Linked DNA regions of Cricetulus griseus. The protein of the gene in region 1 interacts with the protein of each later gene in a pairwise test. Links are inferred from orthologs where the notes say so. Each region holds a gene or a part of one and is shown in the gene's direction. Other genes may lie near its edges. The genes, in order: Lmo3, Pelo, Fblim1, Pnma1, Cby2, Wwox and Gpatch2l.

What was found.
Region 2: the proteins of Lmo3 (region 1) and Pelo interact in binary tests that used the Homo sapiens proteins (3 or more experiments, as listed by UniProt). The link is inferred for Cricetulus griseus from reciprocal best matches to the Homo sapiens genes LMO3 and PELO.
Region 3: the proteins of Lmo3 (region 1) and Fblim1 interact in binary tests that used the Homo sapiens proteins (3 or more experiments, as listed by UniProt). The two-hybrid records come from large-scale screens. The link is inferred for Cricetulus griseus from reciprocal best matches to the Homo sapiens genes LMO3 and FBLIM1.
Region 4: the proteins of Lmo3 (region 1) and Pnma1 interact in binary tests that used the Homo sapiens proteins (3 or more experiments, as listed by UniProt). The two-hybrid records come from large-scale screens. The link is inferred for Cricetulus griseus from reciprocal best matches to the Homo sapiens genes LMO3 and PNMA1.
Region 5: the proteins of Lmo3 (region 1) and Cby2 interact in binary tests that used the Homo sapiens proteins (3 or more experiments, as listed by UniProt). The two-hybrid records come from large-scale screens. The link is inferred for Cricetulus griseus from reciprocal best matches to the Homo sapiens genes LMO3 and CBY2.
Region 6: the proteins of Lmo3 (region 1) and Wwox interact in binary tests that used the Homo sapiens proteins (3 or more experiments, as listed by UniProt). The link is inferred for Cricetulus griseus from reciprocal best matches to the Homo sapiens genes LMO3 and WWOX.
Region 7: the proteins of Lmo3 (region 1) and Gpatch2l interact in binary tests that used the Homo sapiens proteins (3 or more experiments, as listed by UniProt). The link is inferred for Cricetulus griseus from reciprocal best matches to the Homo sapiens genes LMO3 and GPATCH2L.

The regions. Positions count from the first base shown.
Region 1 is NC_048601.1:10,636,350-10,640,412, forward strand, and holds the start of Lmo3 (LIM domain only protein 3), read left to right. Parts: upstream 1-1,263; coding exon 1,264-1,288; intron 1,289-4,063.
Region 2 is NC_048595.1:332,905,155-332,908,679, reverse strand, and holds Pelo (protein pelota homolog), read left to right. Parts: upstream 1-1,186; 5' UTR 1,187-1,428; coding exon 1,429-2,154; intron 2,155-2,429; coding exon 2,430-2,861; 3' UTR 2,862-3,025; downstream 3,026-3,525. UniProt on the Homo sapiens protein: Component of the Pelota-HBS1L complex, a complex that recognizes stalled ribosomes and triggers the No-Go Decay (NGD) pathway.
Region 3 is NC_048595.1:11,653,187-11,657,453, forward strand, and holds the start of Fblim1 (filamin-binding LIM protein 1), read left to right. Parts: upstream 1-1,467; 5' UTR 1,468-1,528; exon of another isoform or gene 1,529-3,038; intron 3,039-3,110; exon of another isoform or gene 3,111-3,247; intron 3,248-3,266; exon of another isoform or gene 3,267-3,394; intron 3,395-4,267. UniProt on the Homo sapiens protein: Serves as an anchoring site for cell-ECM adhesion proteins and filamin-containing actin filaments. Is implicated in cell shape modulation (spreading) and motility.
Region 4 is NC_048598.1:119,613,575-119,617,687, forward strand, and holds Pnma1 (paraneoplastic antigen Ma1), read left to right. Parts: upstream 1-1,313; 5' UTR 1,314-1,979; coding exon 1,980-3,041; 3' UTR 3,042-3,768; downstream 3,769-4,113.
Region 5 is NW_023276807.1:229,960,913-229,965,164, reverse strand, and holds the start of Cby2 (protein chibby homolog 2), read left to right. Parts: upstream 1-1,452; coding exon 1,453-1,527; intron 1,528-1,849; coding exon 1,850-1,930; intron 1,931-2,565; coding exon of another isoform or gene 2,566-2,613; intron 2,614-4,252.
Region 6 is NC_048596.1:191,035,241-191,038,740, forward strand, and holds part of Wwox (WW domain-containing oxidoreductase), read left to right. Parts: intron 1-2,382; coding exon 2,383-2,561; intron 2,562-3,500. UniProt on the Homo sapiens protein: Putative oxidoreductase. Acts as a tumor suppressor and plays a role in apoptosis. Required for normal bone development. May function synergistically with p53/TP53 to control genotoxic stress-induced cell death.
Region 7 is NC_048598.1:117,541,193-117,544,692, reverse strand, and holds part of Gpatch2l (G patch domain-containing protein 2-like), read left to right. Parts: intron 1-654; coding exon 655-722; intron 723-2,109; coding exon 2,110-2,149; intron 2,150-3,500.

The DNA.
Region 1 (4,063 bases):
TTTGACCTTTCCCAAGGAGAAGCGCTACCAAGCAGCCTCTGTGCTCACTGAACACCCTCCCCTGTATCGCTTAATTGAGAAGGTAAGTAAGAGGCTGTGTACACACGCGTCGGCTTATTTGTGCTGTGTGTGTCTCCGGGTGCGCGCGTGCGTGTGCGGATGTTGGGTGGTTTTCTTCTTCTTCTTCTTCTTCCCTATCCTCTCCCAATGAAGCATAAAGTAAAGCTGCACGCGAACCATCACCACCACCACCACCACCGCTGCAACTTTACTGGCTGCAGGTCTGCAGAGACGATTTCTGTTTGTTTGTTTTGTTTAAATCGTGGGAGGCATCATTATTTTGTATGATGAGACACAAAATAGATGCGGGGCGGAAGATGAGGATGCCTGAGGAAGAGGGGGAGCGTGCGGCTACAGCGTGACATCTCAAGTAGGAGTCCAGAGCATAATAGACAAAGTTCACTGGGAGCTGCGGCATCCAGACACCCTATTCCGGAAGAGGGGTTGAGACAGTTTGCAAAGGTGTTTTTTTTTTTTTGGGGGGGGGGTAATGCTTCCAGACTAAGGGAAGTGGTGTCAGTCTCGGGTGTTTTCTCAGCCCTCTCCATGCCTGATTGGTGAAATCCGTGCCCTCCCCAAAGAAAGAGTTGAAATTACAACCTTGTTCTTGCCCACACCCCTGCTTCTACCCAAGGCAGCTCTAATAACAAAACACTGCTTCTGTGTGTTGCAAAAGTGACTATGTTGGACCATGCAAAGAGGAGACAAGTGTCCAGTAGAGGCAGGTTCCTTGGATTCAAGTGCCTGCATCCTAACAGGTCTAGAGATTCAGCACATTCTAATCGGGGCTACTCAGATTGCTGTTATGAAACGCAAGTCAGATTTATGATCTTTTTCATACCGAACACGATATGCTATGCTAACACTGCGTGTGACGGTTTAATCAAATCCATTTGTTACCAGGAAGCTAAAAGGGGCCGCTGGGATTTTAGGATTACGGGCAGAGTTAGGGAAGCATGTGGCTTTGTCATTCGCCATCATTTTACACGTTCCCTTGTCCCTTCCCCCACCGCCTGCCTCCCTCACCACTAGACCCTAGCTCCCAAAGTGGCCTCACAATAGTGGATCCTCGGCCCTGTACGCTGCTCACCAGATCCACGCTTGGGCCCCAAATCCAAAAGTGACTCCCCTCTTCTACTTCCTGCCTGTGGGCTTGGTGCTCCATGCGAAGCTGCAGCGGCTCAGGCACGCCTAAGACAACTCATGCAGAAACAGGAGAAAAGTTTTGGTAAGGTTACAGTCTTTCATAGATGCACTTTCTCGGGGCGCTCGGCACTCGTGGCTAGCTCCAAAGCCTGCCAGTTCTTCTGTTGCTGAAGACACGAAATATTATTGTGTCTACTGCTTTTAAAGACTGCTGCTTTCCACCAATTAATCTCGCTAGGTGCCATAAATACTGGTACATTCTTTGCAAAACCATTCCTGTGTTGCTGCAAAGACACAGCCACAAAAGGTTGGATCATAAACTCCGCAAGGGGATTCTTTGTTAGAGTGTATGTATGTTTCTTATTTTTTTTTTATTTTGCATGTGAGCTGCATCAAAATTGAACCCAGTCTTGCAAATCTCTTGTTGGCCTTTGCCAAGCACTAGCACTTTGCTGCCATGGTAACTGTAATTAAACTGATAAGAGTGGGGAAATGTCAGTATCTCTGAGCCTTGCAGCTGCATTGGAGAAAAAGGGAATCAAATTGGTTCCCAGCTCCATTGCTCAAAAAGGGGAGGGTGGTGGAAGGACACGGAGGGGGGTTGGGAGTTGAAGGGGCAGAACAGAGTTAAGCAGCTCTAGTGCCAGAGATTTGGGGACATCTATTTGCATTGTTTTCCCTTAGGGGGCTGCAGCCTGTAGGGGTGCTCTGGGCCAGTGAACAGAGAGAAACAAGCTTTTAGGCCCAATCCAGTTTTCCAATCTGGGTTGGGGGGAGTGACTGGGAGTGGGATGAAGATGGGCAGGAGGAGAGAAAATCTTTTGTTTGGTACTCTTGGCAATCGAAAGGCTGTGTTGGCCAAATTCTTTTAATCTATGTCATTGCTCCCAGCTGCGAAACCTGCAGTCCCAATTTTAGCATCCTCTCTTCCAAAAGCCCTTCTGACAGAGCCCCTTCTCCTTTTCCCCAAATTGTCCTCTGTAAATCTTCTGAAAGGGAAAGAATGTTTCCCATTCATTCTGTGTGATCAGTCCAAATAATACATTGGTGTAAAAAGAGAGAGAGAGAGAGAGAGAGAGAGAGAGAGAGAGAGAGAGAGAGAAGGAAAGAAAGAAAAAACACTGTGCCTAAGTGCTGCGCATCTTTCATTATTGTGATTATTTTTTAAGCCCCTGTGTGTTGTGGAGTTGTGGTTACTTTGTTGTGTTAACTACTGAAGCTAAGACTGTGCGGATGAATGACACAGAACAAGGGAACATAATGGATGCAATCAACCGTCAGGCCTTCTCACAATGCAATCCAGGCAATTAAAAGCTCACCAGAGTTTAAATGAAACGGTTCTACTTATTTCTGCACAGCACACTGCACAGGCTATTATTTATGTCTTTTTTGAAAATTATGATTTCCCTTAAACTGTCAAATAACTCAGAATGGCAGGGTCTCAGAGGCAATAAGAATTTCCCTCAGAACAATTTGCATGCCAATCTAAAACTAGTTATGAGTGCTGATGGGCTGTGAGCAACTTGTGAAGTGTCTCTTAGCCACGAACACATAACTCTCCCCAGACGTACTCTCTTGGATCAAGAGCAGAGACTGCTCAGTGCTTTCTGCTTTTTAGGTGCTTGGCACCGTGGTGACGACCAAGTGATTGTTTGCCTACATTTTTTTTAAATGCATAGAATGGAACAGATTCCATTTGCAAGAGAAAAGGGGTTAGTGTTCTTTAAAAGAAGATATGAGGATGGAATAGAAAATATCAAACTTCTTTTATACACAAGGCCAAACAGAATGAAAGAGTTTCAGTTATTAATTGGCCTCTGGGTGCTACATTAAAATGTCAACACAACAAAAACGCTTTGTGAAGACAAGCAGTATAATATTCCTTGTGCCAAATGTTGGTATCTGCTGTCTTGGTTACAATTTATTTTGAATAAAGATAGCTGAACCTTTACACTTAATAATAATGTCACAAACATTGGAAATAATGGAGCTTAGCTTCCTAAGAAGAATTCCTTTTTCATCTTTTAGGTGTGTGATATAAAAAACACAGACTTCAAATTAGATAATTAGGACGGTTACCTTTAGCATACCTCTGTATGCTTTCAGTCATGAAATCCGGACTTCCTTAGTAAATCAGAATCCCCCTTTTCCCCCAAGTATATGACTAAGAGGCACCTGGGCCTGTTGTGCACTGTAATTAATGGGACTCATGCCTGTGGGACCTTGCTAGCAAAGGATAACTAGTTCTGATCAAAGAAACTTCATTTGTTAGAAGTTCTAGAGAGTGAGATTTAGCAGAGCTATCAAGGGTTATGATTAATCTACACTAGGCCCTTAGCTCCTTCAAAGAAAAGGAGCAGAAAGCAGGCTACAGGGGTACCACCTGCTCTTCAGCACAAATCTGCTGCTGGTCCACAGCTCAGAGCACTACAGCCATGCCTGTCAGGCACACAGAACAGCCACCCTGCTTTCTTCCCTGCATTCCCTCCTCTGCTGCTCTACCACACAAGTTGTTCTCCGATGAAAGCTCAGGAACATTCTAATATTATGTGTAGTTCATGTGACATTGGTAGCTGGGAAACTCATTTGGCTGTGGGCATACGTTCATGCCCCTTACCAATGTGATTTTCTTTTACAGGCAGAGGAGGTAATGAGGGCTGAACCCTTCATCACACGGTATCAGAAGGAAGGAGAGAGTTTACTTATCTTGAGGAGAAATGAATCATAAATGCTTCATTTTCCATTCTGAAACCCTCTTAAATGCATTCATATTTGGTGCTTCATATCTTTGTCTATCTAAGTTTAAAACTTTATGCCTAGGAGAGGAAACAGTGTTAATGGGTGGTCTGTGGATTGC
Region 2 (3,525 bases), on another chromosome or scaffold:
TTACATGCTCTTGAACACATTCATCAGCTTTCTCAGAATTTCATTTTACTTTTCTACAAATTAGGGTAGCATTTTCTTTATAAGAAAAGAAAGAGTGGGAAAGTGTTTTTGAAATTTCCAAAAGTTGATTGTACTCCAATGAAGACCTTTCATTCATTAAGAGCCTATGCAGCACCTTCTTGATCCTTAAAATACTTAAAACACAGTGAGAGTATGAGTGAGCTCAAGACTTCTCTGCTTCCCACTGTCTACAGACTCAAGAAAGAGGCATTCCTATATTCCCATCGCCATGGTGAAAAAAAAGGGTGTGTGTGTGTAAGGTTTTTCTTTTTCTTTACAACCAATTCTATGGCTCTTCTTTGGAGGGCGGTCATAGTTAGTAGATCAGTTTATCTTAATTTACCATAGCCTCAGCTTTTGGCCAGTTATTGGCAGGGAGAATCAGCGCTAATCTATTGCAGGCCAGCTCCCACACTGAGCGCCTCAGAGACTACTGAGCCTTGGAGAGCTGACTGCCAATTTTGGATTCTGGGATTCCCAGGACATCAGGTCAAGCCACCCAGAGGTCCACCAGGGGTACATTCCACGCATAGCTTCTGCTCTCTCTGGGTTCTGTCCTTTAACATCTGGGTTAACTGGGTAGTCCAAACAGGGTAACGTCGCAGAAAACAGTTGGGCATGTTGCTGAGCCCAGGCCGAACGTGACTAGTCCTTAGAAACTGCTTCTGGGAATCCCAGTGCCAACAAGCGCGCGTCACGTCTGAGTGCGGGGAAGGAATGAGCAAGACCAGGCAGAGTTTGGACTTCGGGGACTAAGTCTGCACTGCACTTTCGTGGGCTCTTTTCACTTTTACATAAGTTTGGAAGCTGGCTCCACATCAGGGAAGGAAGTGCAAAGTGGCAAACTCAGTTTAGATACTTACGTTAGCACTCACACACTCCGCAGTTCCTCGTACACAGGGAGGCGTGGGAAAACTCAGCCACCCGGAGTTCGGCTTTAATTCTCAAGAGTGGCGGCCAGAGCCGTTTAGCACCTCCCTTGACTTTCAGCTAGGCTGCGTCTTTCCTGTTACTGCGCTTGCGTGCGCGCGTAAGCGATAGGGCCCGCCTCTCCGGTAGGGACGACAGACATGCGCCGGGAGGCGGGCTGCGCATGCGCGATCGCCGCGTCAGCCACTTGCGCGGGGCCGGTGACTGAAAGTGCCGGCTTGTGTGTGCTCAGCGTGGGGTCTGCCGCGCAGCGTGGATCTGCGCGCCGAGGCTCAGAAAAGCGTCGGGGGAAAGCCTGTCCCGGGCTGGCAGGAGTTAGAGGTAGTGTTTCTCTCCTGTCCCCTTCCCAGCCTAGGACCCCACCCCCACCCGCGCCTCTGTGTCTCTTGCGGACCCCCCTCGGCGCCTTCTGTTTTGAAGTGAGCCCCTGGCGAGGTCATGAAGCTTGTGAGGAAGAACATCGAGAAGGACAATGCGGGCCAGGTCACCCTCATCCCCGAGGAGCCCGAGGACATGTGGCACACCTACAATCTGGTGCAGGTGGGCGACAGCCTGCGCGCCTCCACCATCCGCAAGGTCCAGACCGAGTCCTCCACGGGCAGCGTCGGGAGCAACCGCGTCCGCACCACCCTCACTCTTTGCGTGGAGGCCATCGACTTTGACTCTCAAGCCTGCCAGCTGCGAGTTAAGGGGACCAATATCCAAGAGAATGAGTATGTCAAGATGGGAGCTTACCACACCATCGAACTGGAGCCCAACCGCCAGTTCACCCTGGCCAAGAAACAGTGGGACAGTGTGGTTCTGGAGCGCATCGAGCAGGCTTGTGACCCAGCGTGGAGCGCTGATGTGGCAGCTGTGGTCATGCAGGAGGGCCTCGCCCACGTCTGCTTAGTGACACCCAGTATGACCCTCACCCGTGCCAAGGTGGAGGTGAACATACCCAGGAAACGGAAAGGCAACTGCTCCCAGCATGACAAGGCCCTGGAGAGATTCTATGAACAGGTGGTCCAGGCCATCCAGCGCCACATCAACTTTGATGTTGTAAAGTGCGTTCTGGTGGCCAGCCCAGGGTTTGTTCGAGAGCAGTTCTGCGACTACATGTTTCAGCAAGCGGTGAAGACTGACAACAAAGTGCTCCTGGAAAACCGGTCCAAATTCCTTCAGGTAAAAACTCTTACCCAGAGAAATTCAGGAGTGGGCAGAGGGATTGGTGTGAATGGTTCGTAATGTTTTAGAGTAGTAGAAGGCTAAAACTCAATTTAACTGGGATTATAAATGAATCAGTAAAGAGAACGGTGTAGGTCTACCACATTTATAAGGTAACCTTTGCAGAAGTCCTTAAATAGATAAGGCCTTATTCATGCTTTTGTCTTACGCCATTGTGGGCTGATTAACGGATACTTTCAAAGATTCTTTGTCTTTTATAATTGTGATTCTAGGTACACGCCTCCTCTGGACACAAGTACTCCCTGAAAGAGGCCCTTTGTGACCCTACTGTAGCTAGCCGCCTTTCAGACACGAAAGCTGCTGGAGAAGTAAAAGCCTTGGATGACTTCTATAAAATGTTACAGCACGAACCTGACCGAGCCTTCTATGGACTCAAGCAGGTGGAGAGGGCCAACGAAGCCTTGGCGATCGACACATTGCTCATCAGTGATGAGCTCTTCCGGCATCAGGATGTGGCCACCCGGAGCCGGTATGTCAGGCTGGTGGACAGCGTGAAAGATAACGCAGGCACGGTTCGGATATTCTCTAGTCTCCATGTGTCTGGGGAACAGCTTGGCCAGTTGACGGGAGTTGCTGCCATTCTTCGATTCCCAGTGCCGGAACTTTCTGACCAAGAGGATGATTCCAGTTCTGATGAGGATTAAGACTGACATTTAATAGTTACTTCTTCTCAGTGTCCCTTGACAGGTGCAAAAGCTGCACTTGTTGATCATGCTGGGATTTCTGGTGTGTTGGTCACACTAGTGTTTTATAGTTGGCAGGACATGTATTCAAATTAAATAAATCAAAAGAAAAGAATGTCCCAGCATTATGGTTTCTAATTGGAGTTATTTTTTCTAAATACCTGAAAACAGCAATTTGAGTATCTAAGGGGGAAAAGAGTCTGCTGTTTGGGCTTGATCATTAAAGCCCATGTACCTGTTTTAATAGGTTTTCCTTGTAAAAATCTTTAATCTCTCATGAAGTTTATTTTCACTCTGCATGGTGTTTTTGCATTTCATTTAATTATGCATTTTCTCACCTCTTTCTAATTTTTGTTTTTTCAGGATTTGGCTACATTTACTAAAGTGTAATTAAAACCAAGCCTAAAATGTTATTTTCTTTTAGAGATTTGCTAAACTAGTCGATTTTAAAACACTCTTGTTGCTCTTTGTTGCTCTAATCATACTTTCTGTAGACAGTTATTTTCAGGCAGTAGAGGTCTGATCTACTAGGGATTCTCAGCACAGTCTCTGGACTTTAAAAATGAGATGAAAGCCTGTGGTTTGCTTACTGTGTATCGAGGAGTGGCAAATCTGGACATTTCTC
Region 3 (4,267 bases), on another chromosome or scaffold:
CTTTTCCAGCAGAGGTCATAAGAGTCTTCATACCCATTGCAGAGGCCCCATTGCCAGGTTGGGACCATACCCAAGGGGCCCTTGGGCACAGGTAACCTCAGTGTAGTACCAGGCTCTACCCTTGGCTCTTACCTGGGGATGGTGGCAGCGATCCAGCCTCTGTGACTAGCAGATTCATGTGCCTGGAGGGTCACCCTGTGGTCTGGCTTGAATCCAACCTCGCCCCTTGCCCATTGTACCACCCTTGATCCGAACCAGCTTCAGGGTCTGGTCTGTAGGTGGGGCAGTTCAGTCCTGGAGTAGAGGCTGCAAAGGTTAAAAGTTTGAAAGGGACACAGGGGAAGCCTCTAGAGGTGGCAGCTACTGTAGCGACTGTCTTTGTCACTCCACACTGGCAGGAAGAACCAAGTGGAAAAGGCTGGTGACAGAGGGAGAGAAGGCTGTTAAAGGGGTGTGGGGCTCAGTTGTGGAGGAAGAGGATGGAGATAAGCACCCCCACTCTGATGTCTTAGTGGGGTGGTCCCTTCAGCAGTAACCGCAGGACCGCTGTGAGGAGTGGATTGGCTGTGGGCTGCAGAAGGGGACCCAATCCTGCCTGGCTGCCCCTGTCCCAGCGATGACTCTGGGTCCAGCTCTCCCCTGTCCCCTCCCCTATTGTGGCTTTAATCAAAAGAACAATCTGCTCGCCTGGGAATCAGACCCAGATTCCGTTCCCCAGCAATGTCCTGAGGCCTCTAGGGACCTGTGCAGCCCAGCCCCAAGCCAGGCCCCAGGCCCCAGGGCTCTGCTTCTTCAGGGGCCAGTAACAGGGCCAGGAAGCAAACAGGTGGCATGATTGTCTGCTCCTGGTCTCCTGTTGGGGCCTCCTCCCCACCGTAGGACCTGAGACCCACTTGTGGAAGGATTAATAGGCTCTGGCAGGCACTGACAGCTCAGGACAGCATACCCAGGTGACTTGCCTCACTGAGGTCTCTGGGGCCCCTGCCCCAGGCATTCCTTGAAAAAGCCCATGACCCCAGCCTATGCGAGTCCCGGATTCTCTTAGCATTATCGCTTTAACTCCAAGCCAAGTTGCAGAGGTGGGCAGTAGGGACTCCCTTTTAGGGATTGAAGAACCCGAGGTTTAGGGAGATAGGGTAACAGTCCCAAGTCATGCGTCTAGCCTCACTCAGGACCCTGAAGGATCTCAGAGCCAAACGGGATGTAAGTACCCCTCCCCACCAGATGGGGCAGGTGGGGCTGCTCATCCAGGTGACCTAGGGGGAAGGTGACCAAAGATCCCCCGGTGCACAGTGGGGAGGGGTCGACGGAGGAGGCGGAGCCACGGGAAGGGGGGAGGAGTGGCGGGAAACAAAAGGAGGGGGCGCGGCTGCAGGTGGGGGGGCAGGTAGGGCGAGCCCGCGCCCCCTCCCCGAGCGTCACCTTTTATGGTAAGGCGCGCGGGGCGGCAGGGCGGAGGGAGGCCGGGGCGGGAGCGAGGGGCGGAGGCGCAGCGCCAGCGGAGGCCGGAGCATGGGGCACGCAGCAGGTAAGTGGGCTCAGCGTGGGGGTCCCAGCCTTGCGCCCCAGGCAGGGACACCCGCAGGTGGCCGCACGGGCAACTCTCATCCACGGCGCTGGCCCCAGCCTGGCGCTGCTGGGGGGTTCGGGGCGGGTACTATCCCTGTGTTCTCTTGTGCCTGTGTGTCCCAGGATCTCAGCCTTTAAAAACTCCGGAGGTTGAGTGCGGGACGGTGCGGTGGGTTCTTGTCCCTGCGCTGAAGTGGAACGGGCTAGCAGGGCGGAAGCTCCTGCACAAAGACGACAGCGTTCCGCACATGGGTTGAATTATAATTGCCGCTGTGACCCGGCCAGCTGCCCCGCTCCGCTGCTGCTCCAGGGCGAGCTCGCGAGTGTGTGTGTGTGGGTGGGGGGGGGTCCCGAGCTCCCACGGCCTTGGAGCCCTGTTCCCAGCTCCAGTTAGGGGACGGGAAGGAAGGGGTCTCCTGGCAGGGTGTGAGAATGAGCGATCCCCAAGGTGTGTGCAGCTACTCCCCCTTCTCTAGCCCAGACCTGAGGTCCCAGGGGAGAGACTGGGCAGCGCCCAGATTCCTGCTCTCAACAATAGAGACCACTGTCCTCCAGCCCCAGGGCTCCGCCTGCCCTCTGGGGCTGAATGACCAGAGCTGGTCTCCTCGAAGCCCCCTCCAGGGCTATTCACTTGATGACTAAACTACCAAGCCCAGAGACGCTGGGTGACTGCAGCAAGGTCACCCAGTAGGAGCCGTGGCCGGGGAGGAGGCAGCTCTGTGCGTCTTCCTCCTCTGGAGCAGGAGAGAGGATGAGAGACCCTTACTTTTTGAGACTTCCAGGTGTCTTGTGGGAGTGAGTGGGGACACACACCCTCCTCCCCGCCTCCAGCAAAGTTTAATTCTGGCTCCAAACTTAGATTGCTTTGTGGGGCTGTGTGAAAGAAAGAACGATGCTTAGAAGTGACTCGGAGGAAAGAACTAGGAACGAGGGGACTACTCCTGGCAGCCAGCACATCCCTTCCCAGGGGCTGTAGCCTAAAGCCGGCCTGGCTGGCTGGCCGGCTCTCAGCCTTCTTCCTTCCTTTTGACAGGAAATGACTTTCCTTCCCTTTGTTCCCACTTTCTCCGCTTACCCGACTGGATCTGGGTGTCTGATTTGCCCTCGGGGGAGGAAGGATGGGGGTGGAGGGTCGGCTGGGAAGTAGTCATACTGCGCCTCCCCCCTCTCCAGGGTGAACTCTGGGGCAGTGAGACCAGAGGGAAGAGCCAGCAGGCTCTCCTTACGGGACCTGACAGGGCTCTGAAAATCCCCAGCGCTGCTCCATCCACGGCCCGCCCGAGGTCCCCTCTGCTGCTTGTCACCGATAGGGGCGGGTATGGCTGCCCAGCTGTGAACATCTGGCCTCCATGCTGGACGTTTCAGAGAAAGCAGGCAGAATGGAGCGGGATCAGACTAGCGGGGAGGAGGTGGGGAGCGTTAGGAAGAGCCACAGCCTGTCCCAGGGGACCCGCCTAGAATGTGTTGACCGCAAGAAACTGGTCTGGGTTGGGTCGTTTGGGGGAAGGGGAGGGACTTGAGGTGGGGGAGGAGACTTGTACAGTCCAGGGAAGAAAAAGTTCAAGGATGCCCGTGGACTTCCAGGTTGCACTCTTCTCTGATAGCATTCCAAGTCTGCTGGAGGACCAGTCTGGTTGGGACTGTGTGACAGAGCCTCTCCCTACAGCTGAGGTGTGAGGTCTGAGCTCTTGACTTTGTAAATGTCTGTTAAGGTTTCTGTTTTAATTCTGAAGACCAAAACTTACAAAACAAGTTCTATTTATGGGGCTGGGGTTGAACTCATGGAAATCCTCCTGCCTCAGCCTCCTGGGTGCTGAGATTACAGGTGTGTATTATCATTTCTGGCTTAAAAATACTTTCGAAGGATCTCTCTGTGTAGCCCTGGCTGTCTTGAACTCACCATGTAGACCAGGCTGGCCTCATACTCACAGAGATCCGCCTGCCTCTGCCTCTCTCTGCCTCTGCCACTAGAGTGCTAGGATTAAAAGTGTGCGGCTCGTACAGTGCCTGGTGCCCCTAGAGCTATTTTATAGTATTTTTTTCTCTGTCAGCCAACAGGAGAGTCCATGTGGGCTGATGCTCCTTGAGAATCAGAGGCAAATCTGTGAGTGACCATGTGGGATCCACCTCTGCCGTTAGAGTGACCCCTCAACGGTCCAGCCCCACTGCTTGAGACTAACCAAATTCCTCCCCAAGTGCTCATGACTGGGCTTCAGTTGCATCATGGTGGCCCATACAGAAAGAGGAAGGGAGATAAAGGACACATTTTTAGCCAGGTGTGCTATAGTTGGGTGCCAGGGAGGACTTCGGTGGCCAGTTCACCCCCAGTGACCCGCCTAGACCTCAGCCCCAGAGGCTTCTATGCCCTTCCCAACATGGCGGTACTTCCTCTGCACAGATCTCTGCTTCCATACCTGCTTCTGTGAGCTGCTGTCTGGCTCCTGATGCAGACAGCTGAAGACAGGCAAGGTTACCCGAGGGGATCAGACACATGGATAGTGAGCCATCGGTACTATGAGGATCTGTTCTTATCCTGAGGAAGCCACAGATTGCCCCAGGGTGGGAGTCAAGGGAGGCTTTGTAGAGGACAGGTGAAGTCTGAACTGGGTCTCAGAGAGCTGAAATTAACTCCTTAAGAACAGAAAGGGGAAAAAAGACTGGATCCTCTAGTGGGAAGAAAGGGTTAAGGTAGTTAAAA
Region 4 (4,113 bases), on another chromosome or scaffold:
GTAATGTACCTATGTAACTTATTTACTTTTGAATGTTCTGTATCTTAAGACCTTTTATTAAATAAAAATTTTAAAAAATTCACTGTTGAATGCCATATTCTTGGTTTTTCTTTTTCTTTTCTTTCCTTTTTTTTTTTTTTTTTTTTTTGAGACACGTTTTCTCTGTATTGTTTTGGAGGTTGTTCTGGAACTTGCTCTGAAGACCAGGCTGGCCTTGAACTCACAGAGATCCGCCTGCCTCTGCCTCCCGAGTGCTGGGATTAAAGGAGTTTGCCACCAATGCCCGGCGCCATATTCTTTTTTTTGTAACGATTTGTTTATTTTTATTTTATTTGCATTTGTGTTCTGTGTCTGCATGTGTATCAGTGTGAGGTTGTTAGATCTTTGGGAACTGGGGTTACCGACAGGTGTGAGCTGCCATGTGGGTTCGGGGAATTGAACCCAGGTCCTTTGGAATAGCAGCCAATGCTCCTAACCAGTGAGCCTTCTATCCAGCCCCCAATGCCATATCTTTATAGGGGTGGGGTTTGTGTGTTTATTTATTTATTTGATTTTTTGAGGCAGGGTTTCTCTGTGTAGTTTTGGAGCCTGGCCGGGAACTCAATTTATAGATCAGGTTTGCCTTGAACTCACAAAGCTCCTCCTGCCTCTGCCTCCCGAGTGCTGGGATTAACGGCATGGGCCACCAAGGCCCGCCTGATTTATAGGGATGTTTTTGCCAGCTGGGATTGACAGGCCTTGCTTGAAGAGAATTTACCCTACCTTTCTGAGCCTTAAGCATTCTCTTTTGTTATCCTGTATACTCAGTAAGATCAAGAAATGAAAGTGTTTGCAGTTTGCCTGGCTACAAAGAAGTAGCAGCAGCAGCATTTTGTTGGTTTTTTTTATATATATATATACAAAATTTAGGCAAGAAAGCATAGTAAGTCTCACAGGAACCTGGAGATGGCATTCTGTCTTTTGCTTTCCTGGGGAGGAGCAAGCAGCAGCTGTGGTGTGTGGTCAGGAGGTACGCAGAAGTCAGAGTGCTGAGTGTTTTCATGGGCTGCATAGTGAATGCATAAGCTGGATGAGCAACATGAGACAGACAAGTCTGTCGTGGTGGATGCGTATCAATAAGGCCAACTTAAATTCACAGCAAAATTAGATTAAGAAAAAAAGAAAACGATGCTTTGCAATATTTATTGTTAAGAAAGAAGCTGGGAAATACGTGTGTGTGTGTGTGCGCGCGCGCGCGCGCCATCACAAAATAGACTCCTCAACCCCTCGGTACCATAGCAACCGCCAGATCCTCTGGAGCTCGCGCATCTCCCGTCGTCATGGATACGGTTGCCACGGCGACACTGACGAGCGGACCGGCCCCGCCCTGCACTGCAGCTGCACGGCGGCGGCCGTTGCGGGAGCGCGCTGCTCTAGACGCTGAGCGGAGCTGCCTCCATCCGGCCTCCCGCCTTCCGCGCCTCCCTGAGGCCTCCGTCCCCGGTGCTCGCCTGCTGCCGCAGCCGCCGGACCCGAGTACCGCCTCTCCCGGCGTCTTCCCAGCCACTGCCTCGCGTGACCCTACGCCCGCGCCTACCGCCGGCCGGCCGGCCCGAGAGCGGCGGGGGGGAGCTGCCACACCCCGCGACCGCACCCGGCCGTCTCCCTCGTGAAGCTGAAGCCCACCGCCTTGCGCCAACCTTGCTTCTCCCCTGCCCGCCGTGAGGCCACGAATAGCTGCGGCCAGCCCGCACCTGCTCGGACCAAAGAGGGCGACATTCGATAGGCAGAGTGCCCCGAGGCACCTGACACTACTGACTTTGGGACCCGGAAGGGACGAGACTGGACTCCGGTGTCACTGGTAATTGTGGTTGCTTGAAGCTTGTCGCCCCCTGGCCTACCCGGGGGAGGGAGGCATGTTGTATTGTCCTAGGTCCTATAGCACTGCGAGCCAGTCCAGTCGGTGTCTGTAGAACTGGCACCCTTAATAGTGGGGCGAAATGGCTTTGACGCTCTTGGAAGACTGGTGCAGGGGAATGGATGTGAACTCTCAGAGAGCTCTGCTGGTCTGGGGGATCCCTGTGAACTGTGATGAGGCTGAAATCGAAGAGACCCTCCAAGCTGCCATGCCCCAAGTGCCCTACCGAGTACTGGGGAGAATGTTCTGGAGGGAAGAAAATGCGAAGGCAGCCTTGTTAGAGCTCACCGGGGAAGTGGATTACTCCCTGATCCCTAGAGAGATGCCAGGCAAAGGAGGGCTCTGGAAAGTGTTCTTTAAGCCCCCCACTTCTGATGCGGAGTTTCTGGAGAGGCTGCACCTCTTTCTAGCTAGGGAAGGGTGGACTGTGCAAGATGTTGCTCGTGTGCTTGGGTTTCAGAACCCTGCTCCCGCTCCAGGCCCAGAAATGCCAGCAGAGATGCTCAATTATATTTTGGATAATGTTATTCAACCTCTTGTTGAGTCCATATGGTATAAGAAGCTGACGCTATTCTCTGGGAGGGACATTCCCGGGCCTGGCGAGGAGACCTTTGATTCCTGGCTGGAGCACTCGAATGAGGTCATAGAAGAATGGCAGGTGTCTGATATAGAAAAGAGACGGCGGTTGATGGAGAGTTTGAGAGGCCCTGCTGCTGATGTCATTCGCATCCTCAAGACCAACAACCCAGCCATAACCACCGCGGAATGCCTGAAGGCTCTTGAGCAGGTGTTTGGGAGCGTGGAGAGCTCTAGAGATACACAGGTCAGATTTCTGAACACTTACCAGAACCCCGGGGAAAAGTTGTCATCTTACGTCATTCGTCTGGAGCCTCTGCTACAAAAGGTAGTGGAAAAGGGGGCCATTGATAAAGATAACGTGAACCAGGCTCGCCTGGAGCAGGTCATCGCCGGGGCCAACCACAGTGGGGCCATCCGAAGGCAATTGTGGCTGACTGGGGCTGCGGAACGACCGGCACCCAACCTCTTCCAGTTGCTGGTGCAGATTCGAGAGGAGGAAGCCAAGGAGGAGGAAGAGGAAGCTGAGGCAGCCCTTTTGCAGCTAGGCCTGGAGGGGCACTTCTGAGTCCCTGGATCAGTCTGGCTGCTTTTGTTATCCCTGTGCGGTTTTACAAGCCTTGCCTCTCATAGTAAAGACCTAGCCTCCTGTTTTTGTTTTGTTTTCTGGGGGATGGGATAGGGGAGTCAGGCCTGCGTATTTGTGTAGCAGTCACAGAATTGCGTGATTGGCCAGGGCTGCAACAGTAGAGGTGGTTCATACTGCCTAAAATGAATGCTTGATGCAAGCCCTCCTAGTGACATCTTTGACAGTTGTGAAAAATGTGAAGCTGAGACACTTCCTGTCAGGATGATTGTGAAAGTGCAAGCCTGCTTCACAGGCTGTATGGTACAGACTGACATTTGTTACTAATATTGTGGATAGTTTTACTGTACATTGTCCCTAATTTATATACATGGGAAGAATATGAGTCTGTTAGATGATACTGCTCATTTTGAAAATTCAGATTTCTCATTCCTCACGGCTCAACATCAGAACCAGTTTACCAGCAAAGTACTCTAGGATTAAAATTGGCAAGTTAGAAAAATGTGATTTTTATGAAGAGGCACAACCTACTTTTCATGGTGTAAGATACAAATATAAGTCAGGGGGAATTTCCATAAACAAGCTACATTTTCCCCACATGAATTATTTGTCATTTAATTATTGGTCATGTTGATGCTAAGTGTTCTAAATTTGAAGTTATCAAATAGATGTATACAAATAAAAATGTGAAAATTCTCATCTTGCTTTTCCTGACATGTATAAAAAATTTTCAGTGTAACTTAGCTCTGCACATTTTTTCTCTGCACATTTTTGCTCATGTCAAAAAATTTTTTAATCTCCTTGCTATGAGCTTAAATTGCAATATCACCTACACATTCTTGTGTTGCCGGTTCCTCGGTTATTGTTTTGTTTCTTTTTCACGGTCCCACTCGATAGCTAGCTGAGGCTGGCTTGGAATTCACTCTGTAGCCCAGGCTGGCCTCAAACTTGTAGCAATCCTCCTGCCTCCAGCCTCCACAGTGCTAGGGTTACAGGTGTGAGCCACCTCACCCAGCTATTTCTTTTAGATACAGTCTCACTATCTAGCTCCGGC
Region 5 (4,252 bases), on another chromosome or scaffold:
GACATTTTAGTTTTATAGAGAAATCAGGCACGAGGGAAATGTCTGGAGATCTACAAAGATGACACCAGCTAACAATCTAAGCAACAGAGGAGAGGCTACCTTAAATGCTCTCCCGTGATAATGAGATTGATGACTGACTTATATGCCATCCTATAGCCTTCATCCAGCAGCTGGTGGAAGTAGAAGCAGACACCCACAACTAATCATTGAACTGAACTGGAATCCAGATGCAGAAAAGGACGAGTGAAGAGCAAAGGGGTCCAGACCAGGCTGGAAACCCACAGAAACAACTGATCTGAACATGGGGGAACTCTTGCTCCCCAGACTGATAGCTGGGTTACCAGCATGGGACTGATCCAGACCCCAGGAACATGGGTTTCATTGAGGAAACCCCGGAAACCTACTCTCTTCCTACCCCAAGGGGCAAAATCACACAGAACTGGGGCTCTTAAATGGATCTGGAGGTGACAGATTTGACAGAGCTAAGGATGGAGGGATGAGTGTTCTGGCCTTAATGCAGGTTCTACATGTGATATGTTTGGTTGTATTTTTCTATCAGAACAGTGTTTCTTAAACCCTTGGGATTTCCTGACAGGACCTCCTTTGAAACACATCAGTTTATGCTAGGGGAATGACTTTGGGGGTGGGGGGTGATTGTCAGAGGAACCAATCAGGTGATTAGAAGGTTGGAATTTTCAGCAAACGTCTACCTCTGGAAGGATTTGACATTTAGTTAAGTGATCAAAGGCTAATGATTTGATAAAATTTGCCTACATAATGGAACTCCACAAATACCTCTAAACAACTGGGTTCAGACATTGAAGATGCTGGGAGGCAGGTGTGTCCAGAGAAGGCCAGAAGGTTTACGACACTACCCTGTCAAACAGCTCACCCTTTATCATTACCATTTGGCCCCTCCTGAGCTGCATGCTTCTTAAAGTTGTGATCCTAAGTAAATTACTCTCCTGTGTTCTGAGAGACAGCTATTGAACCTGAGGAGCAGCTTAGGGTAACCCCTGCATGGCTAACCAGTTACAAGTACAGGTGGCCCTGATATGGGATTGGTACTTGAAGTAAAAGATCATCTTTTAGGGCCGAGCCCCTAACTTCTCGGAACCTGACATGTAGCTATTATCAGAGTGGAACTGGACTGGAGTTCCTCAGTAGTGCCAAGTCTCTCCAGGTCTAGACAGTTAATGTTTCTCTTTTCCTAATTAATGTGATTGAAACAGATGCCACCTCTGATGGGAGGTAGAGAGGTTCAAGCCAGCCTGGCAGTGAGGTGTGAGTGGCAGCCAGCTGACCAAACAAGGGCTATTGTGTGTCACACTGACCCGGGCTGGCCACCTGAGCACAGCCAGCAGCAATTCTTCCTTCCTGCAGAAGCCTCGTTCCCACCTGAGATGCCCGGAGAGAAACCATGAGCTCAGAAAAACACCATATTGTTCTGTGATGTCACCTCTGGAATGTTCTGAGTGTTTTGGTGACCAGCTTATGCATAGGACCTATACCTGGCACCTCACATTGGTATGGCTTTTTACTTATATAGAAATCGTAGTGTAAAACCAGGAAGAGCTGCAATGATTTCTTCTTGTAAGAGGGCTTCATATCAGTTCATTCCTGTCTTGGTTTTTTGTTCAGTGATCAGTGTCGATCAGTTCCTGATCACTGAGCAGTAAGACTTCTGGCCAGGCGCCATGTACACATGCCTTGAGACTGTGATTTTTATAAGGTATAAAATTAGTCAGAAGGACATAAATGTGTAGAAAGAGGTTATGTGTTTCAGGTGAGCCACTGAGGCCCTGAGGATGGGTTGAGAAGGAGAAATCTGATTCTTTCTTTTTCACAGCACTCGAGGCCAATTTTTACAAGAAAGAGAGATACCAGATCTGAAAGCCTAGAAATTCCAATCAATGTGGTTCTACCTCAGGTAGGGACAATCATGGAAGAATGTAACTTGCTAGAATAACCCTGTTTCCAAGCCTTACAGAATGAACAGCGAAGTCAGCCACTCAGATTCTTGTCATGTTGGTGTTGTTTTCCTGCCCATTTGTCTTGAGGAGGACACATGGATTCTCTGAACCTTGGGGTCCTCTGGCCTTGAATGAGGAGACTGAGTTGGATGGTCAGGTCCTCCAGCACTAGCCTTTCAAGATTTGTTGATACTATGACAAAAGTCTAACCTTCCCAAAGGAGACCCTTCATTGCATGGTAGTGTATAACCACTCAGGACATCTGTAGAGAACTAGAGTCAACCTTGAATCCAGATGCATAAGAATGAACACAGGAGCTGAAACCCCAGAATGGAGCCCACTTGCAATGGTCAAGAGGATTAAGCCCTGCCATGGGCCAAAGATGGTTTACTGGGGATGAATGTTCACTTGTTTCTTTTGAAGCCAGTGAATGATTAAAACACTTATAGCTTGTGGTCTCCAGATCTCCTGCACACAGCAACTTTCTCAGTGGGACCCCCTTTTACTTGAGTGTTCCTTCTGTTGCTATGTCACAAAGGGGTGGCCTTGCTTTCTCCAGTGTTACCCAAGAGCTCATTGGAAGACCAGGGTCATGCAACCAGTGGAGGAGAAATGTAGGATGGAGGGATCCAAGGCACAGGTAATTTCCCTAAAAGTTTGGTCTCAGGAGGTATGTACAAAGAGGATGGATCTCTGGCTGGTGTTCTCTATTAGTGTAATTATAATGAGCTCAGCAAATATGGTGAGAAGGAGACAGAAACACAGGACAAGAGAACCACCTGGGTATTTTTTTTCCTTACAGCATTGTAGTAAGCAGCCACAGTTACATCTCTTTCAGCTCATGATAGCTAAGCCAGATTATTAGGCAACTATGTCCTGGGCATCCTATAGAAGAACAAGGAACCTTGCTAGGTCTGATCCCTGACACATAAACTACACATCTGTGCATGAGGGTGGCCGTGGTTCCTTTGGTACCTTTATTAGCCCACATGTTAGGGGCAGACAGGAGATACCAGCCCAGATGTGGGAGTGGGAATGGGGCTGGGAATAAGATTTGAAAGTAGGTGTATTACTTGCTGTTCACATTGTTGTGACCAAATACCTGGCAAGAAGCAAGTTAAGGGAGGAAGTCTTTATTTTGGATCTTGGTTGAGGGGTAAATCTGTTGTGAAGTGGAAGCTATGGGGTGGGGCCGCTGCCTCACATCACTGCAGATCCATGTTTTTCTCAGTCCAGGATGCTAGTTCATGAGCACTGTAAGACCCTTGGAAAGCTGAGGCTTCCAGAATCTTAGCCCAGGACCTCGGCCACCCCAATCACAGAATGGAGGCGAAAGCTAGATGCAAATTGCATGAGGCTTTATTGTAGTTTAACGAGCTAACACCATGTTAGCTCGGGTCTTTGACCCACCCACCATGGCAGATGGCTAGCAAAGACAGTTTGAAGCTGCTGCATACAGATCTTTATAGGGCAGCATAAGGGGAGTGTTTAGGGGTATGCACAGGCTCAGGATTGGTGTGCCTCCAGGCTTGGAGGGTTTGCCCTGTGTTGATTGGTCAACTGGCTGTTATGGCCCATAGGCCCTCCCAGGGTGGTTGCTATGCTTTGTGCGTCATTGCTGTGCGCTTGTCCATAAAGCACACCCAGGGTCATAAAGCATAGCGCTATCAGCTAACTTCTGATTGGCTCCTTGTCACGAGGCAGGCATCTGACTTTCTAGTGACTAACTTCTGATTGTTTCCTTGTCACGAGGCAGGCATCTGACTTTCTAGTGACTAAGACAAGGTCATAGAGCACGTGTTTGGTCATTATGGCTGCCAAAAGGGAAGCTGGTCCCTTCAAGCACTAGCCACATTAAGTATGGGCCTCCCCTCTGTTAGTCCTTCCCCATAAAGTCCCCACAGACACATCAAGGATGTGTGCCTTGCTAATGCCCTGGGTGTTTCTTAATCTAGCAAGCTGACACAAAGCCTTCATTACTGCCATGCCATAGAAAGATTAGAAAGATCCATCTACCCCTGGCATGACTTTGTCCCTAGCTCCCAGCGCCAGCTTAGCAGTCAAGGAGAAAAGGTGTTTGAGGAGTCTTGGGTTTGTTCTGGTCCTTTCAGGCCTACTTCCTGTGCTGTGGGACCTGGATCTTGGAAGGCAGAAGAATATGGAAGGAAGAGGTCACTGCTGTCTGGAGATTTTTCATGGCCAGCCAGGCTTAGTCAGCAGTCATCTCTAGGTCACTTAAGTAAGCAGCTGGTGTTGAAAAGCAGGAAGAGGATAATTCT
Region 6 (3,500 bases), on another chromosome or scaffold:
TGCCTTCCTTCCTGCTTGCCTGCCTTTCTTTCCTTGTTTCTTTCTTTTAAGCTGCTTGTCTTTGAGACTTCCTAAAAACTTTACAAAGGATTGATGTGTCTGTGTGACTGTATAAGGGCATCAGATCCCTCTACTGTCATCCTACAAATTCCTGTGAGGCAGGGCCTCTCTCTGAACCTGGACCTTGCTTTTTCTTGGCTCATGTGGAAGCCAGTAAACCTTTGGAGCTGGGGTTACAGTTTGTAAACACAGGATTTCTGACTTGATGAATGGGTGCTGTGTTCCAAACTGCAATCCTCACAATTGGGCAACAAGTGCTGTTAACTGCTGTGCCATCTCTGGAACTCCATTTTTCAAATTTTTATTACTACTGTGACAGTTTATTTTGGTCTCACCTGTTACTATCCCTGTAGTAATAGTTATAGTAACAGGTTCACCTGAAGTAAATGGTTTGTCAGCCATCCCAGTGAACTGCCTTCCTGGCATGTCTCCTCCACTGGGAGCAGGTAGGCCAGGGCTTGCTTTGGAGAGTCTGAGCAGTCATTGGCAGCTCCAGTAGGGCAGCCTCTCTATCAGGTGGGTGGGTGGATATTCTTTGCTACGTATTAGATTATAAAGAATTTACTCTCCCTTGATTTATAAAAATCTTTTACCTTATCAAAATAGGAACATCATTTCTTTAATTTTGTGTTCGAAATATCCTTTTCCACATTTTTCTTGGAGAGCGTGGCTGTAGAAATTCTTAGGCTCCCTGTAGCCGGACTCCTCCTGTAAAGCTGTTCTCTGGGTTGCTTTCCTCTTTACTGGCCTAGAGCAGTGGTTCCAAAGTGGACTCTCCAATCAGCATCGTTGGCAGCTCTTGGGAATTTATTAGATATACTCAGACCCCCTACTATCTGAAAATCAACTTGGGGTGTGGTGGTGGTGGTGTTGGTAGCCTATGCCCTCCAGGGGATTCTGAAACATGTTGGTTTGACTGGCCTACTATAGAGAGGGGTCAGCTAAACTTATCTGTAATGGATCAGATATTATGTTTTATGGTATGGCACTACATGGTTTCTGTTTTGAACAAAAAATGATGGCCATTGCTGTGCCCCAATAAAACTACAGAAGCAAGCTATGGCCACATCAGTCAGCTGCTGATCTAAAGGAGAATGAGTATGGGCTTTGGAAGTAAGCTAGGAGAAGGCTTTCCTGGATAGTTATTCTCTAGCCTGCTGCAGGGGTGTGCTGGGATATGCTCAACAACCAGCTCCTTAGGGAAAAGAAATGCACATTTGTTTCCATGTGCAGATACTGTCACCATCACCAGTTGTCGGCTACCAAGGTGGAATCACTGAGGAGCAGAGATGACAGCACAGCCAGCACTGCCTAATGTCAGCATTGTCACACAGGATCTCACTAAGTTGCTCAGGCTGGCCTTGAAATTGCAGTTCTCCTGTTAGCAGGGATTACAGGCCTATGCCGTGTAGCTCAGACACATACATTTTAAATCATAGTATTCTTTGTATATCAGGAGGGTTCTTAATAGTTTTAAACATGTTTATGACATTTCAAGGTCTTTATCTCAGATCGTAAGAATACACATAATTTTCGTATTACATTTTGAATATTTAGAGTGTGTATGTGCATGCATGCGTGCACATCATGGCCCACACATGGCCATCAGGACAACTTGCAGGAGTTGTTTCCTTTATCACATAGGTTTCAGGGATTGAGCTCAGTCATCAGGCTAGGCAGCTGAGCCATCTTGACAGCCCAAGAATGCATTTAAAAATGTAAAAATGGTATTAAAAGGAATAATTTAATAATCTATATGTGCCAGTGTATCTTAATGTTGTTTCTGTAAGTTCTAGATCAATTCCAAATCAGAAGTAGAGTGCTTATTATAGGTGGCATGGCCATGGTCTTAAAATGCACAGCATCGAAACTTTGCTATTTGGCTTGCTTTGTAGTTATTAAGACTTTCATCATTTCCACTTTCTCCTTGTATAACAGAGTTTTTAAGCCCTTGCGCAGGCCAGTGAAATTACATGGGCATGTATTGACGAGAGTGGCTGGCAGATCTTGCAGACGAATTTATATGAACACGAATTCAGTAGAAATCTAGAGCCTTCTCAGGAAGCTGTTATGAGAGCTAAGGGGCCAATTGTGTCCTTGAACCTTCAAGTAGTTCTGAGAGGCTTCATGGCTGTGTTCACAGGCAGAGTATGGTTCTTCTGAGGATGAGAAGATAGATCAAATGGGTTCTGGATCTCTCCATCTTTGACAAACCTTTTGGTGCACGAACCATGGTGTTTGCCTGAAGAATTAGAGTATTAGGGTATTTGGAGCTGCTGTTCCTTGCTGTTTAGAGTTCAATGCCCTTTCTCTTCTTTGCAGCCACATAAATAAAAGAACTACCTACTTGGACCCAAGATTGGCATTTACTGTGGATGATAATCCAACAAAGCCAACTACCAGACAGAGATACGATGGTAGCACCACCGCCATGGAGATCCTGCAGGGCCGGGACTTCACAGGGAGAGTGGTCCTGGTTACCGGAGCAAATTCAGGAATAGGTAGGCCCATAGCTTAACTGTCATCTTGTTTTTACTCATTTATTATTTTGTGAGTGCTACAGTGAATTCCACTTAAATATAACTGTAATGAAACTTTGGTAGTGAATCTCCAGTTTAAAGATGGTCTCATAGCTTTTTCAGCTGTCGTTTCATTAAAATCACAGCCTCCTTCAATCCCAGTGCTACAGTGGGAGGCTGTGTGGGGCCTGACCTTGAAGTTGCTCAAAGCTGAGAAGTCAGCAAAAGGCTGTGGCTATTTTGGTATTCAGGGGCTGGAGACAACAGGCTCTGGCTAAGAGTTTTTGACCCGGTCTGTGTGGTGCATGGATGTATTCCAATTACCTGGGTTATTCAAACCAAAATTGATTGGTAATGGGATACTGGACAATAGCAGATTGTGACTTTGGATCCAAGGGTACTGCAGGTTTCCACTGGTCACTGAGCCTATCATTTTCTTTTGGTAACCATATCTTATTTCTTCATAAAACTGGAGAATTCGTCCTTGTCTTCACCTCTGCAGCAACCCTCCTAATTGCTGCTGTTTAACCACAGTGGCCATGGTGAGGTCAGTGGCTTCTCGGACTGGTGCAGTGGTAGCAATGAGGCAGGCACTTGTGCATCCTGAAGGATGGGTTTTATTTTGTTTTGGTCCATTGACACCTAACATTAGCATCTGAATTGCTTTGAGATAGGATATGCTTCTGCAGATTAAAGAATAGAATTGCATCCAGCTGTCCTCTGTCAGGTTTCTTTCTGTCCTTCTATCACAGTGCCCCTCATGACCTTTCTCATGAGCTTTTCTCTATTCTCCTCTCTGTTTTTCCTGATTTTGGAGTTCTCAGCATCATTTTCCAGCAAGTGGTACCATAGCAGATCAGCCACTGTTTGTGTGGCAGCTCTCAGAGCTTGAGATTGCCATCCAAGATACAATCAGTAAAT
Region 7 (3,500 bases), on another chromosome or scaffold:
ATGTTGTATACATAATAAATAAATAAAATCTTTAAAAAGAAAAAGAAACAGTATTTGGTATTAGTTTTATATTTCACTTATGTGTCAATTAAAAAATAAACAGAGCTGGAGTTTATTGCTCAAGTTGGCAAAGTGCTTGTGGAGGACTTGAGATTGTTCCCCAGAACAATATGGGAGAAACACCTCGGGTGCAATGGCATGCTTGTAATTCCAGCGCTGGGGAGGAGGAAGATAGCTAAGCTCAGGCCAGGAGAGACTCTGTCTCAAAAAATGTGGACAGTGCCTGAAGAATGACACCTGAGATAGTCTTCTGGCTTCTACTCATGCACACACTTATGAGTGCCCACACACGTGTACCTGCGCACACACACTTATACAAAACTAAATTTAGAATAGAAAAATATCCCAAGCCCAACAAACAGTATTTATAACGGCTTTTTAAAAGCCTTTTAAGTCAGCAGAGAATAGCTAGGTAATAGATGATACTTCTAAGATGTACTCCTATTAAAAAAAAAATAGTTGCTGTTGGATTTTAAGATTGATACAACCTTAAGATTGCTTGGTATGGTTAGAGAAAAATTTAGCTTGGTAACAGCTTAAATTGTATATATTTGCTTCTGTGGTTTGATGACACTCTTTTTCTTATCTTTTTAGGAAACCAGCATAAGCAGTCTAGGAACCGAGAGGATAAGCCATATCATCAGTGACCCCCGGCAGAAAGAGTAAGTACCTAAGTGCCTACTGCTGTCCTAGCCTGGTCCTTGGAGAAGGAGGTAGAGAGGGTTTCTATAAAGCAATCTTTCTATTAGACTTGAGAACCGAAAGAGGGCATTTTAGAGATTGGTGCTTGCTAACAGTTAAGATGGGTAAAATCAGGCTGGCAAGATGGCTCATGGCTAAAAGTGCTTGCCACCTGTTGTTGCATGTTTGATGACCAGAGTTTAATCCCAGAGCCAGAAGGAAAGAACCAACTCCATAGAGTTGTCCTCTGACCCTCACAAGTATGCTATGACATACACAATAATAAAAAAGTAAAATTTTAAGATGGCTAAAGTCTTAAATCATGACAGTGATTTTTCTTTTTCTTTCTAGAGTAGTTTTTTGTTGTTGTTGTTGCCTGTTATGTTTCTAGGTGTTATATTAATATCCACCACTAAGAGACTATATTTTAAATGCATTTTTCTCTCTTAATTTTTTTAAAATGGTTGTTCCAAATGCTTCTGTTCTCCTTCAGGCCTCTTTAAGGAGAAATCTTTTTGTCCCTGTTACCATGGTGAATGCAGTAGGAATCATGAATGGAGCTGCCTTTCTCATAACAGCTTCATTTCCTAAACAGTTGGCTTTGCTGTGTGCTTTGTCTTCTTATGGGTCTTCCATGGCTAAAATTTGAATATCTGCTGAATAAATACATATATATTGGGACTAGGGAGATGGTTCAGTGGATCAAGCATAAGGATTAGAGTTTGGATCCCCAGCACCCACATAAAGAAGCAGGTGGTATGGTAGGCCTGCCTGTAATATCAGCCCTTGACAAGTAGATCCCAGGGCAAGCTGACCAGCAGGGAGCTCTAGGTTCAGTGAGAGACCTTGCCTCAATAAATGAAGTGGAGAGTGAGCTTGGAAGACATCACAATGACCTCTGACCTCCACACACGTGTGTACCTGTGACCTTACATTCCTCCATTCACACACATACATGCATACATATCAACTATGTATGTTAAAAAAAAAAAAGCAGCCCACATTTGTATATGCTAAAGAAATTGTATAGTTTATTCCTTAATCATTATGGTCAGTACCCAAGAGCAGTCCTATACATAAACCTAGTCTGATTTTGGAGTTTGAGTCCTTTTCTCGATGCACAGCTGAGATAAGGCTGTGTCTTAGTTGGCTCTTCCTTGTCTAGTTTTCTGCTTTCCACTTTTGCCTTCTCCACTGCAGTTACTTCAGGGAGACTGTTGTTCACACACAGCTGGCGTCCTTCTCCTTCAGCTGCATCGCTCCCAGTTCCTTCTTTGTCTTCACTCAGTATCCCACCTGTGATCGTCTTCCCTCTTACTTTTCCTATCACTTCTTTTATTGTTTTCTTTCCTGTTATTCTCTCTTCAGTTTCTGCTTACCATCAGCTGGGAAAAGAGAACGAAAGCAGGTAAGATAATTTTGGGGGGTCATCTTTTATCATTCAGTTTCCTTTTCTTTAGAAAGAATAAAACATTGGCTTCTGATTTTCCTCACATTTTTGCTTGTGCACATGAGGTGACTAAGATCACTCTCCATCACTCTTGACTTTTTTGAGAGCTGAGTTCCAAGACTGCTCTGTGCTCATCTGAAAGAACTGTAGCCAATTCCCTCCTTAGGTTCAGCTGCAGTTGTCAGCTTCTTATTTGTAACACATTTCAAGGGAAGCCTGGTTTTATTTTAGCTTTTCCCCCCTAAGGTTTATTTTTACTTATGTGTCCATGTACATAGGTGCATGTGAGCTCAGATGCCTGCAGAGGCCATAGGGTATCATATGTGCTGGAGCTGGGGATACAGACATTTGGGAGCTGCCTGACATGCTGATGAGAACTGAACTTGAGTCGTCTGGAAGAGCAGTATTTGCTCTTAACCATTGAACCCATTGTCTTATTGTTTCAATTGATTAAAAATGTAAAGTGAGTCTCATGTCTCTGGGTTAGTTTGCCATTCGAATCCTGTGCTGTGACTGTCTGAGCATAGGAGGCAGAAGGCTGAGCTCCTTTTGGGGAAATGATCAAGACTTTGGAGCTTTTTTCTCTTAATCTTTTCCTTGACTCCCCTTTAGGGATGCCTTAATACATTTTGGCTTTGAGGAGGATCCATGATTTAAAAGTAACTCACAGTGGTTGTTGTTAGGTTTATAGATGTTTGAAATTCTTTCAGTTTAGAGGTAAGGGTTGCCTAACCTTAGTTCTGAGCTGTGAAGTTCATAGAGACTGATGGGCAAACCTTCTCAGGCTTCCTTTTGCTCCATGGTTGACTGGTTGTTTATTTTGGGGACTACTTAGCATTTTATTATGTTACACAGTTTATATTTGCAAAGTTCACTGGGAAGTTGCTGTTTCACAATAATTAGAACAGTGGAAGATAAAACCAGTGTGTGTTTATGAGATGATTTTAGATTACGTATTTGAAGTTATATATTATAATGTATGTTAGAAAAATGTAATTACTATGTCAGACTTACCTGGTGGAAATAGGACAAAACTGAGTGTAAGTAATTGGTGTAAAGAAAATTCTGGATGAACAGTTCATATAGTTGGCAGATAAAGAAAGGGTCATGAAGGTCGCATGCGAGAGATTTGGGAACTGTTAAGCTAGAGTGTGGATTGTATTTGCTTCAGAGCATGCAAAGGCAGGATTTATGGCCATCTTTTGCGCTACTTCTGCTATGTACAAGTGAGGAACAACGCATCATGGGTTTTAACTATTTTCCTGAAGTTGCTGAGCTATGTGTATTAGCTAAGTTTCTGTTCTTTTAA